Linked DNA regions of Anolis sagrei. The protein of the gene in region 1 purifies or fractionates together with the protein of each later gene. This does not show direct contact. Links are inferred from orthologs where the notes say so. Each region holds a gene or a part of one and is shown in the gene's direction. Other genes may lie near its edges.

Evidence for each region.
Region 2: the proteins of CDK8 (region 1) and MED12L purify together in Homo sapiens (affinity purification with mass spectrometry; 3 studies listed by BioGRID and IntAct, counting the BioPlex papers as one, with this or other methods). This does not show direct contact. The link is inferred for Anolis sagrei from reciprocal best matches to the Homo sapiens genes CDK8 and MED12L.

Annotation. Positions count from the first base shown.
Region 1 is NC_090023.1:30,600,424-30,608,133, forward strand, and holds the start of CDK8 (cyclin-dependent kinase 8), read left to right. Parts: upstream 1-4,694; 5' UTR 4,695-5,030; coding exon 5,031-5,164; intron 5,165-7,710.
Region 2 is NC_090023.1:241,542,653-241,550,655, forward strand, and holds the start of MED12L (mediator of RNA polymerase II transcription subunit 12-like protein), read left to right. Parts: upstream 1-4,990; 5' UTR 4,991-5,184; coding exon 5,185-5,283; intron 5,284-8,003. UniProt on the Homo sapiens protein: May be a component of the Mediator complex, a coactivator involved in the regulated transcription of nearly all RNA polymerase II-dependent genes.

The DNA of each region.
Region 1 (7,710 bases):
ATATAAAATTACTCTCAGGCTATGCGAATCTGTTATATATGAAACATAAATGAATTTCGCATTTGGGCATGGGCTGCACCTCTGAGATAAGCATTATGTATATTTAAGTATTCCAAAATAAAAAAAATAAATCTGAAATGTGGACTATTTCATTTTGGATAAGGGATGCTCAACCTGAAAGATCTGAACCAAAGTGGAAAACGACGTCTTCTCTCACAATTTTTGGGCCACAACTCCCACAATTCCATTTAACAGATGGCCTTTCAAGGCAATCTCTGTCCTCAGTTTGCACTTCCGTTCCATTCCACACTGTTACCCTTCCGGAATGTGTTTCCATGGGGATGGAGCCACAAACCCCAAAGATCTCAGTTCCTATCATGCTCCAGTCTCTGACTTCTACCGCTGGAATGTCATCAAGCCAGGCTTCAAACTCTAGGTCCCATCAGGCACCAAAACAATCCAGAGACCCTTAACTCCAGCTTCCTTTTAAAAAATAATGACAACTTTTCACTACATTAAATAAAAATCTAGGAGAAGAAATATGACTTTCAACGTTATCAGCTGCTATAATTGCATATATTTAATATAATTAAATGGCTGCAACTTTCACTGCTCCAAACTACAGTTCCCAACATGCACCAAAATTACCCAGACACCCTTACCCACAACTTCCTTTTTAATATTTTCCTGTAAAATATAATTACAAGTTTTCACTACAGTGAAATACTCTAGAAAACAAAGGAAAATATTACTTGCAACCTCTAAACGTTTTCCTTGTAACAAATAATTATAACCTTTCACCACATTAAAAACAATCCAGATTTTCTTTCTTTTTAAAAAATGACTTACAACCTCCTTGTCATCATCTCTTGTTGATACATCAATTCTACGGCAACAACTTCCAACCTTTTGTATTTTTTTCCTTTTAAAAATAAGTTTTCACTCCATTGAAAGAATCCAGAAAATAAAGAAACATGTTGCAATCTTTTAACTTTCACTACATTAAAACATCAAGACATAAAAAATGGTTTGCAATTTTCTAATCAGCATCTATTATTGCAAAGACATCTTCCAATCTTTTTTCTTTTTTGAATTTTTGATTTTCCACTACATTAAAAGAATTTACAAGATAAAGAAAAAAATGTACTTTTAACCTAATTAACAGCTATGGGTCCTTTCAGACAGGCCCTATAGTATCTCAAGAGAAGCTCGGCTTGTCATTGAACATCGAGAAAACCAAAGTGCTCTTCCAGCAGTCACCAGTCAATACCTCTCCAATGGCGTAACTTAGAAAATGTTGATCATTTCCGCTACCTTGGCAGCCACCACTCCACAAAAGTCAACACTGACACTGAAATTCAACACCGCCTGAGCTCTGAGAGTGCAGCATTTTTCTGCATGAAGCAGAGTGTGTTCGAGGACCGGGACATCCATAGGGATACCAAGGTACTTGTTTATAAAGCTATTGTCCTCCCAACCCTGCTATATGCCTGCAAAACATGGACTGACTACAGATGTCACATGCAACTCCTGGAACGATACCATCAGTGCTACCTCTGGAAAATCCTGCAAATCTCTTGGGAAGGCAAGCGGACAAATGTCAGCGTGCAGGAAGAAGCAAAGATCACAAGCATTGAAGTGATGGCCCTCCGCCATCAACTCCGCTGGACTGGCCATGTTGTCTGGATGCCTGACCACCCAAAGCAGTTGCTGTATTCCGAACTCAAGAACAGAAAAAGGAATGTTGGAAGACATTTAAAGATGGGCTCAAAGCCAACCCTATGCGGTCAGTGGTTCCCTTGATGTATGACAAGAACACTTTTCCTCTGGGTGGATCTTCATCTTTACTCTCGTGGCTTGTTCTCGGTCTTGCAGCTCTTCTGATGTCTGAGGTGGAGTATCCATTGGCCTGGAGAGCACAGTTGAGGTGGTTCAGTTCATCTTGAAGGAGGTGGGGTTCGCAGATTCTTTTTGCACTGTCTGCCAAGGCTTTAATTGGTGCTTCTTTTTTGACTTGTGTATTTATTTCTCGTGTCAGGGCAGCCAGTCAATTATATTACATTTCTAACAGAACAAAGCAAACAAACAGAGAAAATACAAAATGTGTGAGTTTGGTAGTTGATTAAATGTCCTTTGATCAGTATCTGGCCACTTGGAGCGCTTCTGGTGTTGCTGCAAGAAGGTCCTCCATTGTGCATGTGGCTGGGCTCAGGGTGCATTGCAGCAGGTGGTCAGTTGTTTGCTCCTCTCCACACTTGCATGTCGAGGATTCCACTTTGTAGCCCCATTTCTGAAGGTTGGCTCTGCATCTTGTGGTGCCAGAGCGCAGTCTGTTCAGCACCTTCCAAGTCGCCCAGTCCTCTGTGTGACCAGGGGGGAGTCTCTCATTTGGTATCAGCCATTGGTTGAGGTTCTGGGTTTGAGCCTGCCACTTTTGGACTCTCGCTTGCTGAGGTGTTCCAGCGAGTGTCTCTGTAGATCTTAGAAAACTATGTCTGGATTTAAATCGTTGACGTGCTGGCTGATATCCAAACAGGGGATGAGCTGGAGATGTCTCTGCCTTGGTCCTTTCACTATTGGCTGCCACTTCCCGGCGGATGTCAGGTGATGCGATACCGGCTAGACAGTGTAATTTCTCCAGTGGTGTAGGGCGCAGACACCCCGTGATAATGCGGCATGTCTCATTAAGAGCCACATCCACTGTTTTAGTGTGGTGAGATGTGTTCCACACTGGGCATGCATACTCAGCAGCAGAGTAGCACAGCGCAAGGGCAGATGTCTTCACTGTATCTGGTTGTGACCCCCAGGTTGTGCCAGTCAGCTTTGGTATGATATTGTTTCTAGCATCCACTTTTTGCTTGATGTTCAGGCAATGCTTCTTGTAGGTAAGAGCACGGTCCAGAGTGACTCCCAGGTATTTGGGTGTGCTGCAATGCTCCAGTGGGGTTCCTTCCCAGGTGATCTTCAGAGCTCAGGATGCTTCTCTGTTCTTGAGATGACTTGGGTGATGGTTGGAGTTTTTATGTAGATATCTATCTCTGTGTGTGGGTTTTCTGTAAATGTGTGTATGTGTGTTGGTATGGAGGAGACGTGGTTTTAAAAAGGGATTTTTCAGAGATTTCCCCAATGCCCATATGTCATGATTTACTGCCATATTGGCCTATTTCTGCAGTAGGCCTATATTCACAGAAAATGCTGATTGTTTGAGAAATCAATGCTCCAAAGAAGTTAGTATTCAAGGATAACAGTATATCTGGACAAATCCAGCTAGCTGTTGGCTAGTTAGAACCCCCAAGTTTCCCAGTCACTCTGAAGCCATGTTTGCAACAGGCTAACAGATAAGGTACAGTCATGGTCAGAGAACAATGGACCATATTTATGATATAGTTGTGCCATTGTTAGGATCCCACGTGTGCTATAATGTCAATCAAAATCATAAACAAATAATGAACAACTGCATAGCTAGCTTAGACCAATGAAATGATTTGTCTTTGGGAACCAATGAAAATGTATATTATATTTACTATAAATGCTCTACAGCCCCATTGGGGTTGCGACAAACCCTTTGATTGCATCCCTGTATGCTTGTTTGTCGTTATTGCTATGGCCACGCAATAATAAATAGGTTTTTTTTGCAGTTTAAAGGATTCAACTTTTGTGGTGTCCATCCTTGCCCTCCCTACTGGAAAGGGGGCTTCTGCCTTTTGGGAAATACTGGGTTGTTGTAGGTTTTTCCGGGCTATATGGCCATGTTCTGGAGGCAATTTTTCTCCTGACGTTTCGCCTGCATCTATGGCAAGCATCCTCAGAGGTAGTGAGGTCTGTTGGAAGTAGGGAAAATGGGTTTATATATCTGTGGAATGACCAGGGTAATGTTTCAGCTGATCACCTTGATTAGCATTCAATGGCCTGGAAGCGCCTGGGGGGAATCTCTTGTTGAGAGTGAATTGATGTGCTTGATTGTTTCCTCTCTGTTGTTTTGCTGTTGTAATTTTTGAGTTTTTTAATACTCTTAGCCAGATTTTGTTCATCTTTATGGTTTCCTCCTTTCTGTTGAAATTGTCCACTTGCTTGTGGATTTCAATGGCTTCTCTGTGTAGCCTGACATTTTGGTTGTTGGTGTGGTCCAGCATTTCTGTGTTCTCAAATAATATGCTGTGTCCAGGTTGGTTCATCAGGTGCTCTGCTATGGCTGACTTCTCTGGTTGAAGTAGTCTGCAGTGCCTTTCATGTTCCTTGATGCGTGTCTGGGCAATGCTGCATTTGGTGGTGCCTATGTAGACTTTTGGAAAATATTTTGGTTTCGTTGCCCTTACAGGTATGCAATTTTACCTAACTTTTTGCTGTGGGAGGGGCTGCAGACCATTAGGAGATTTTTTTGCCTTGATATTCTGTGATATAGGGCTGTGTGGACTAAGCCCCCTTCCACACAGTTGAATAAAATCCCACATTTTCTGCTTTGAACTGGAATATATGGCAGTGTGGACTCTGATATCCCAGTTCAAAGCAGATATTGTGAGATCTTCTGCCTTGGTATTCTGTGTGGAAGGGACCAAGCAAACTCCACTTTGCATCTTTCTCTCCGCGTGGTGCATGCTGGGGAAAGTGCTTCACTGGAGGGGCGTGGCCTAAAAGGCCGGTCGGCTTCCACGTGGTGCCGAAGGAGTGAGGAGAGGGGAGGGGCGACTTTACGACAGCGCTCTCCTTTTGCGGCAGTGCCGTATTCCGAGGAGCGAGATACCGGCTCTTGTGGCGCTTGGGGGTCTCTCTTCAGCCGGCTGAGGGAACAAGAAGGAGGAGGAGGAGAAGGAAGAGGAGGAGGAGGACTAAAGAGGAGGAGGAAAGAGGCCGCGGCCCCCTCAGCCTCCGCACCCTTGGGCCTTTTTTCCTTCCTAGCAACGCCGCCGCCCTTTCCTCCCTCCCTCCCTTCCTCTCACCTGGATGGTCCGCGTCGCGGGGCCTCCTCCTCTTCCTCCTCCTCCTCCTCCTCCCCGGTTCCTGAGGCGAAGGCCAGGAGTCCAGGCCTCTGAATGAAGATGGACTATGACTTCAAGGTGAAGCTGACCGGGGAGCGCGAGCGAGTGGAGGACCTCTTCGAGTACGAGGGCTGCAAGGTGGGCAGGGGCACCTACGGGCACGTCTACAAGGCCAAGCGGAAGGACGGGTGAGTGAGTGAGTCGGGCCAGCAGCCTTCTTCCCGGGGTGGAGGCCTGGATGGCCATCCCATGGCCGCCTTGTTTCCATCTAGAGACAGGCATGGGCCAATTTGGGCCCTCCAGGTGCCTTGGACTCCAACTCCCATCATTCCTAACAGCCTCAGGCCTCTTCCTTTCCCCCCTCAGCCAATTTGGGACCTCCAGGTGTTTTGGACTCCAACTCCCACCATTCCTAACAGACTCAGGACCTTTCCTTTTCTCCTCAGCCAAATTGGACTTTCCAGGTGTTTTGGACTTCAACTCCCACCATTCCTAACAGCCTCAGGCCCCTTCCTTTTCCCCCTCAGCCGCTTATGCGGCTGAGGGGGAAAAGGAAAGGGCCTGAGGCTGTTAGGAATGGGTCCTGAGTCCACACTCCCATATATTCCGGTTCAAAGCAAAAAATGTGGAAGGGGCCTTAATTAAATACAAAGCAAATGGAGTTGGGCCTAGCTTATCCGTCTGAACATAGCTCTCCTTATGAACCATCCAGGAATCTAAGATCCTCTGGGGAGGCCCTGCTCTCAGTCCTGCCTTCTTATACATATCTGTATAAATAAAAATATAATGTTCGTTTGTGGGGTTAACAGAACTCAAAAACCACTGCACGGATTGGCACCAAATTTGGACACAATACATCTACTACCCCAAGGAGTGGCCATCACTCAAAAAGCATGGGTTTTGTCATTTGGGATTTGTAGTTCTTGGGATTTACAGTTCACCTACAATCAAAGAGCATTCTGAACCCCACCAATGATGGAATTGAACCAAAGATGACACACAGGACTCCCACAACCAGCAGAAAATTCTGGAAGGGGTTGGTGGGCATAGACCGTGAGTTTGGGGTTTTTAGTTCACCTACATCCAGAGAGCACTGTGGACTCAAACAATGAAGGATCTAGATCAAACTTGCCACAAATACTCCATATGCCCAAATGTGAACACTGGTGGAGTTTGGGGGAAATAGACCTTGACATTTGGGAGCTGTCGTTGCCGGGATTTATAGTTTTTATTGTACTTATATTTTAATGTGTAATGGTGATGCACTATGCTGTTTTGTATATTACTGTATATGAAAACATGTTGTGAACCAGACTGAGTCCCTCCTTGGAGGTGAGAAGACCGGTATGTAAAACTTCTAAATAAATAAATAAATAAATATAAAACTTCTAAATAAATAGTTCACCTACAATTAAGAGCATTCTGAACCCCACAAACGACAGAATTGGGGCAAATTTCCCACACAGAACCCCCATGACCAACAGAAAATACTTAAGGCCATCCAGACTAACTCTCTTCACCAGGGCAAGAAAATCTAATCAAAGCCCTCCTGACAAAGAGACATTCAGCCATAGATATAGATATATATGATTCACACACAGAGAGATATAATATCCTAGATGTGAAAGGGACCCCTAAAGAAGGACAATAATATGTTGCATGTTCCAGAATGGGCAAATCAGATACTCTCCACTTCAACACTGACAAAGAAACAGCAAGAAATACTGTTTACCCACAAGCAGAAAGACATTACATATATTAGAAACCATTACTTTATTTTCCAGATCACCAGACTGGGCAACAGCAACGCGTGGCAGGGGACAGCTAGTAATATAATAATAACTTTATTTTTATACTCTGCCAACCATCTCCCCTAGGGGACTCGGGGCAGCTTAAAGGGACACGCCCAAGATTACAATTGAAACACACATGTAAAACAATTTAACCATTCAAAACATCAAATAAAACAAATAGCGACACAATTGAAAGCAATATCAAAAACAATACGGCTGCAAGAAACATAACTGAGGTACAGATTCAATGAGTGCAATACATTTTTACAGGAGTGCAGGAAAGTGCAAAAATACAGTCAACTGGGCAGGAAATACTGTCATAAAGCACATTGAGGTAGAACGTATGCCAGTGTAAAATGCGGGCCGGTGTAAAGTGTGGAACTTCAAGTAGAGACAAGAAAGTTACTGGTGAGCTGCTTAGTTCACAGATTCGTTTGGCGGGGACGAGAGACAGGGCCTTTTCAGCGGTGGTCCCTCGGCTGTGGAACGCCCTCCCTAGGGACATTAGATCTGCCCCCACCCTCTTAATATTTCGCAAAAAAGTTAAAACCTGTTTTTTTGAGCAGGCTTTCTCAAATGCAGTGTAGCAGACAAACCCTGATCTCGGAACGACTGGACAATGCAATTGGAGAATTATTTTGGTAATGAGATGCAGAGGATCTATGTTTTTATCAGTTTTATTATTTACTGAATTTTATTTATTTATTTAAAACATTTATATTCTGCCCTTCTCACCCCCAAGGGGACTCAGGGTGGGGCACAGCATATATATGGCAAACATTCACTGCCGGGACACAAATTCTTATATACATACATAAACATTAAAAACATTTATCAAAATTTTAAAGTACACCATTTAAAACAGTCCTAGTCGTCCACATCAAATCTAATTTTCCTGGTCATCTTTCCTATTGCCACTTTATTGCCCTGTCCCGAAAGCT
Region 2 (8,003 bases), about 210 Mb from region 1:
TGGCTTCGAACCTGCAACCTTTCGGTCAACAAGTTTAGCAGCTCAGAGGTTTAACTCACTGTGCCAGACATTTAAATCCCAAAACTATATTCACATGTAAATGACACCTATGTGAGCCAAGCCTTTCTGAAGTACTGGGTTGCTGTATGTTTTTCAGGCTGTATGACCATGTTCTAGAAGCATTCTTTCCTGATGTTTCGCCTGCATCTATGATAGGCATCCTCAGAGGTTGTGAGGTCTGTTGGACCTCTTTGGGAAGGTCCAGGGTGGGAGAAAGAACTCTTGACTGTTGGAGGTAGGTGTGAAAGTTTCAACTGGCCATCTTGATTAGCATTTAATGGCCTAGCAGTTTTCAAGGTCTGGCTTCTTACTGCCTGGGGAAATCCTTTGTTGAAAGGTGATTAGCTGTTCCTGGTGGTTTCTTGTCTGGAGTTCCCATTTTTGAATGTTCTTTATTTAATAGTGTCTTGATGTATTGATGTATTGTCATTGTGGTTATTTTGCTTAATTGTTTTGATTTGCTTTGTTTATTGTTGTGTTATGTTTTCTATTGTATTGTGTTTTGAGGCTTCGGCCTGTGTAAGCCGCATCGAGTCCTTCGGGAGATGCTAGCGGGGTACAAATAAAGTTAATAATAATAATAATAATAATATTTACTCTTATTATTTTAGAGTTTTTTAAAATACTGGTAGTCAGATTTTATTCATTTTCATGGTTTATTCCTTTCTGTTGAAATTGTCCACATGTTTGTGGATTTCAATGGGTTGTGTAGTTTGACATGGTAGTTGTTAGAGTGGCCCAGCATTTCTGTGTTCTCAAATAATATGCTGTGTCCAGGTTGATTCATCAGTACTGCTGACAGGTCAATGGTTCGAATCTGGGGAGAGCGGGTTGAGCTCCCTCTAGTTCTCCATGTGGGGACATGAGAAAAGCCACCCACAAGAATAGTAATAACATCAAACATCCGGGCGTCCCCTGGGCAATGTCCTTGCAGATGGCCAATTCTCTCACACCAGAAGCGACTTGCAGTTTCTCAAGTCACTCCTGACATGGAAAAATAAAGTATGGTGATATAGTATTACTGTAGTTAGGCTTATTTTAATAGTAACTCTCAAGCAACCAGAAACTTAGCACCAACCAATCCACATGGATTCTGGTTAATTGAGAGTTTACTGTACACACACAGAGATCATCATCATCCATTATCAGTGTCTGGGTTAAACATTAATGGCCACACTACCTTTTATACTTTGTGGGGAATGAGCCCCGAACGATGATCAAGGGTCTGGAGAACAAGCCCTATGAGAAGCGGTTTAAAGAGCTGGCCATGTTTAGCCTGAAGAAGAGAAGGCTGAGAGGAGACATGATACCCATGTGAATAGAAGTCAATGGGAGGAGGGAACAAGCTTGTTTTCTGCAGCCCTAGGATGCGGAACAATGGCTTCAAATTACAAGAAAGGAGATTCCACCTGAACATTAGGAAGAACTTCCTGACTGTGAGAGCTGTTCGGCAGTGGAACTCTCTGCCCCGGAGCGTGGTGGAGGCTCCTTCTTTGGAGGCTTTTAAAGAGTGGCTGGATGGCCATCTGTCGGGGGTGCTTTGAATGTAATTTCCCTGCTTCTTGGCAGGGGGTTGGACTGGATGGCCCATGAGGACTCTTCCACCTCTATGATTCTATGATTCTGTGAACCTATTATCCACCTACAGAGATGCGCACTCATCCTAATCTGTTTCTCACAGTTGTTTCTTTGGACTGACATGGATTTTCAGGTGGTGAAAATATATGAATGGTTTGAAACAAGCACATATCACACTGATTCCCCAGTATAGGCACTTCATTAAGCTCAGTCAGTTATGTGGCTTAGTTCTTCTATAATTTAACAATACCATTGCACTTAAGAGCAGGCAGGTCTTTTAAACACTCTCTGGGAGCAATTTATAGATGAAACGAAAATCTATCTCTAGGCCATGTTAGCAACTCTGGGTATAAAACTGGGTGAGCTAGTTCTTTCTGATTCAGACAGTGTGGCTATGATCCTGTGTATTCGAGAGTGTTTGTAGAACATTGTGTACTGTTTCCCTTCTCAACTGGGATATAAAATTCTCACAACATTATCCCACAGGGACCATCTCATGGGGAGGATGTTGCTGCTGCCAATGGAATCACATCTTTGACAGAAGATTATATTGATAGTGATGACAATAACAACACAGTGAGCCCTCAGTATCTGCTCAGGATGGTTCTAGGACCCCTATGGAGACCAACATCTGTGGATGCTCAAATCCCATTACATACAGCAGTGCAGTAAGAGAGCATCCCTTATATAAAATAGCAAACACTGTAGAATTAATGCACTTTGTGATTACAGTACTTTATCTGCCAGGGCCAAGTGTTATAGAATCATAGAAACTTGTTTGTTTAGGAACCAACACACTGGCAAAAAAACCAACAACCTTAAAGTCCTTGTAAAACTATAACTCCCATGTCTCCAAAGCATTGCATTAATTCCACAGTGTAGGCTGTTATGAATTGTGGGAGCTGAAGTCCAAAACACCTGGAGGGCCAAAGTTTGCGCATGCTTAGTATAGATGCAGCCTGATGATCCATGAAATGGTAAGAGATAACAGCAGGGCATGTATACACATCAATGTAGTGCTCAAAAGTGCAACAAAATCAAAGTTTGCTTTTTGGATTATTTCCCCTCCAAAATATTTCCAAGTTATGAGTGGTCCAATCTGTGGATGCAGAATCTAAGAGATGACTACCATATGAAGAACAATTAAGATAAACATGATCATATTAATACAGTAGACTTTCCGTTAACCGGAACTCTCAAACAACTGACAAAAAATGAAGAAATAATACTGTGCTTTAACTAAAAATTAAGACCCTCCAGTGGTGCAGTGGGTTAAATCACAGAGCTGCTGAACTTGCTGACTGACAGGTCAGCAGTTTGAATCCAGGGAGTGGGAAGGTCCACTCCGCTCCAGTGGGAAGGTAACAGTGCTGCATGCAGTCATGCCAGCCACATGACCTTGGAGGAAATGTTACATCAAGGAGGTGTTTCTGTGTTATGTTATGTTTAGGTAAAGGTAAAGGTTTCCCCTGACATTAAGTCTAGTCGTGTCCGACTCTGGGGTGGGAGAGGAGTGGTGCTCATCTCCATTTCTAAGTCAAAGAGCTGGTATTGTCCATAGATACCTCCAAGGTCATGTGGCCAGCATGACTGTATGGAGCACCCTTACCTTCCCACAAAAGTAGTACCTATTGATCTACTCACATTTGCATGTTTTTCGAACTGCTAAGTTAGCAGAAACTGAACCTAACAGTGGGAGCTCACAACCTTTCGGTCAGCAAGTTCAACAGCTCAACGGTTTAACCTGATGCACTACCAGCGGGCCTGTGTTATGTTTATTTAAGTTTAATTTTTGGGTTTTATTTTGATAGTTTTATAATTTTATGTTGAGATTTTTATCCACTGTTTTGATTTATTGTTTGTTTGTTTTTGGCACTGAATGTTTGCCACTTTGATACTTTTGCTGGAAACTGCCCTGAGTCCCTTTGGGGAGATGGGGTGGGTTATAAATAAAGTATTATTTTATTATTATTATTTATTTTTAATTACTGCATTTCAATATCAATAACAAGCCAATCCAGAGTTTATGATATAGTATATTAGTTAGGCCGATTTTTAATAATAACTCTCAAGCAACCAGAAACTGCACTTATCCAGCATCTACCAATCCCCCCTGGGTGCCAGTTAACCTAGTCTACTGTGTTGTTGTTGTTATTGTTGTTCTTGTTATTTTGGATTTAATTACTGCATTTCAACCTCAATGTCAAGCCAACCCAGAGTTTATGATATAGTATAATATTAGTTAGGCTGCTTTTTAATAGTAACTCTCAAGCAACCAGAAGCTACATTTATCCTGCATCTACCAATCCCCCTGGATTCCAGTTAACCTAGTCTATTACATTATTATTATTATTATTATTATTATTATTAGTTTTTAATTACTGCATTTCAATATCAATATCAAGCCAAGCCAGAGTTTATGATATAGTAAAATATCAGTTAGGCTGCTTTTTAATAGTAACTCTCAAGCAACCAGAAACTACATTTATTCGGCATCTATTAATCCCCTTGGGTGCCAGTTAACCGACTCTACTGTATTATTATTATTATTATTATGTTTTAAATTATTGAATTTCAACATCAATATCAAGCCAAGCCAGAGTTTATGATATAGTATAATATTAGTTAGGCTGCTTTTTAATAGTAACTCTCAAGCAACCAGAAATTGCATTTATCCAGCACCTACTGATCCCTCTGGGTGCCAGTTAACCTACTCTACTGTGTTGTTGTTATTATTTTGTTTTAATTACTGCATTTCAACATCAATATCAAGCCAAGCCAGAGTTTATGATATAGTATAATATTAGCTAGGCTGATTTTTAATAGTAACTCTCAAGCATCCGGAAACTACATTTATCCAGCATCTATTAATCCCCTTGGGTGCCAGTTAACCGAGTCTATTGCATTATTATTATTATTATTATTCGTTTTTAATATCAATATCAGTTAGGCTGATTTTTAATAGTAACTCTCAAGCAACCAGAAACTGCCTTTATCCGGCATCTATTAATCCCCTTGGGTGCTAGTTAACTGAGTCTACTGTATTAATAATGACAAAGCTTGCAGTGAAACTTGGCCTAGGTTGAAAGAGCGGAACGCTTGCAGCTGCAGGGAGAGGAGGGAATAAGATGTTCTCTCCCTCTGTATGTAGGTCCCCTTCCCCTAGGTACACCCCCCTCCCCAGAACATTGTATACAATGTGTTCCTTTCCTCCCCCTCCTTTCTCTTTCTTCTTCACTTGCTGCTGGGCACTTCTGTGGGGGTGGCATCCTTAGCCTCCGTGGGTGGGTGGGTTGGGTTGCATTGGTGCAGCAGCATCCCAGCCCTTGCCCCCCTCCCTCCCTCCCTCTGTGCCTGCCGTCTTCCCTGTAGGGGGAAAAAAGAGCCAGAGGGGGAAGCCAGCTTGTCTGTCTATCTCTCTCTCTCTCTGCCTGTCTATCTGTCTGCCAGCCAAGTGCTGCTCCCTGGTGCTCAGAGCCTGCTCCATCTCTCCAACTCTCTCTTCTCTCTCTCTCTCATTCATTTCGCCGGCTAACATGCAAGATCATGGCCGCCTTCGGGCTCCTGAGCTATGAGCAGAGACCCCTCAAGCGGTCCCGCTTGGGCCCCCCCGACGTCTACCCGCAGGACCCCAAGCAGAAGGAGGTGAGAGACCCCTGCTTTTGGAGACCCCTCTCCTTCCTCCTCCTCCTCTCCCGGCCTGGGGCGCACCTGGCTGGCTGGCACCTGAGAAAGGAAGGGGGAGGGAGGGAGGGAGGCAATCTTAAAGGGAGGGGCAATGGGAAGATGGAGGGGTGTGTGTGTGTGGGGGGGGGGGGGCTGCCCAGTGAGCCCCCCCCCCCCGAAGGGCGCTGCTTCTAGCATGGGAGCCATTCTGCATGACTTTGGCAGCAGGGCGCCCTCGTGGGTGGGTGAGTGGCTGGGTGAGCTGCATGCCTCTCTATGGGTCTGACGCACTCCCCGCCCCCTCTTCCATCTTCTCTCTTTCCCCACCCCCCTTTTTACCCCGAAACTTTTGAAATATGCCAACGTCGGGAGAGAAAGGCACTCTTCCCCTCCACAAAGGTGGCAGCCCTTTTGGGCAAGGAGGGGAAAGCCCTTTGACACTTTGGGAGGGGGGATACTTGGAGACTCCCCCCCCCTTTTCTCCCTTACACATGTGGGAAACTGACCTTGGTTCCTCATTCCCTCCCTTTGACAGGACTGTATTGAACTAGGCATTCTCTGAGCAGGTAGCCTTACTACACAAACTCCATGGACTAATTAACTTAAAAACATGGGGAGACGTCAGCCAAGGGTCCTGTTTTCTAAATGCACCACTCAAAGCAGACAACTTTAAGGATCTCTTTGTCATTATGACACGTTGAGTATCCTTTATCCGGAATCCCAAAATACTCCCAAATTGTTCACATAGGTGGCTGAGAGAGTGGCATCTCTGCTTTTGTATAGTTCAGCATATACATTAGGCTCTCAGTTCACCAGCATCCATGGGGACTGGTAGGTGCCAGATTAATGTTGTTTCTTGTTGCTTGAAAGTCCCTCTTAGATTTAGACCATGCCATAAATCAGTGTTTCTCAACCTCCTTAATGCCATGACCCCTTAATACAGTTCCTCTTTTGTGGTGTCCCCCAACCATAACATTATTTTCCTTGCTACTTCGTAACTATAATTTTGCTACTGTTATGAATCGTGCAAATTTCTGATATATAGGATGTATTTTCATTCACTGGACCATATTTGGCACAAATACCCAATACACCCAAATTACAAAACTAGTGGAGTTGTGGGGGTGGGGTTTAATGTTGTTATTTGGGAGTGATATTTGCTGGGATTTATCAAAGAGCATTCTGAACTCCACCAAAGAGGGAATTGAACCAAACTTGGCACACATAACTCCCATGACCAACAAAAAATACTGGAAGGGTTTGGTGGGCATTGACCTTTGTGTTTAGGAGTTGTAGTTCACCTACATCCAGAGAGCACTGTGGACTCAAAACAGTGATGGATCTGGACCAAACTTGGCACAAATACTCAATATGCCCAAATGTGTACATTGGTGGAGTTCGGAGAAAATAGACATTGACATTTGGGAGTTGTAGTTGCTGGGATTAATAGTTGAGTTATAATCAAAGAGCATTCTGAACCCCATCAACGAGAGAATTGGGCCAAACTTCCCACATAGAACCCCTATAACCCACAGAAAATACTGTGTTTTCTGATGGTCATTGGAGACCCCTCTGACATCCCCTCATGACTCCTCAGGTTGAGAAACATTGCCATAAATGCTTCTTGATTTGATATTTAATATTGAAACACAGTAATTCAAAGCAAATTCAGGCAAACTTAACATAGAATCATGGAGTTGGAAGACACCGCATGGTCATCCAGTCAAACCCCCACCATGCAGGTAAAGCACAATCAACATTGGGTTGCTGTGAGTTTTCTGAGCTGTATGGCCATGTTCCAGAAGCATTTTCTCCTAATGTTTCACCCACATCTATGGCAGGCATAATCAAAGGTTGTGAGATCTGTTGGAAACTAGGCAAGTGAGGTTTATATATCTCTGAAATACCCAGGGTGGGAGAAAGAACTCCTGTCTGCTTGAGGCAAGTGTGAATGTTGCAGTTGGCTACTTTGATTAGCATTTAATGGCCTCAGGCAATCAACATGCCAGAAAGATAGCCATCCATCCTCTGCTTAAAAGCCTCCATGGCAGGAGCCTCCAACATACTCCAAGGCAGTATAAAACATGTATTTAAATTGTTATGTAAAGTATTATTTCCTTGAAGTTTTGGCATGTTACTTGAGACTTCCAGTTTTTAAAGTTTCAATTAGCCAAGAGTCTGCTATATTCCAAAACTGACAATTTAGAGGGCTGAGATAGTGGCACCTTTGCTTTTGGATAGTTACGCATATACACACTTTCTTTCATGCACAGAATGATAAAAAATATTATATGAATGTACCTTCAGGCTATGCATTTGAATCAAGCATTCGTTCTGTATTTGGGTCCCATCTCCAAGATAAGTCATGATGAATGTGTATGCAAATACATGTAAACCAAAATCTGGGGGGCAAGTCTGAAATGCAATGCATTCCTGGTTCCAAGTATTCTCCAAGCAGGTAGTGCCAGTCACTGACTAGTTGGCTTGGAAAGTGGGAAGATGCTAGCAAAAGGTCCTGATTTGTTTTACAACATATCACTGAAACTTTTAGTACTTGTTTGTTATTACAGGTTGAGCATCCCTCATCCAGAATTCCAAAACACTCCAGTATTGTCTATATGGGTGTCCAGTGGAGTTGCACCTCTGTTTTCTAATAGTTTAAAATACACAATTTTTCTTTATGCACAAACTTATTAAAA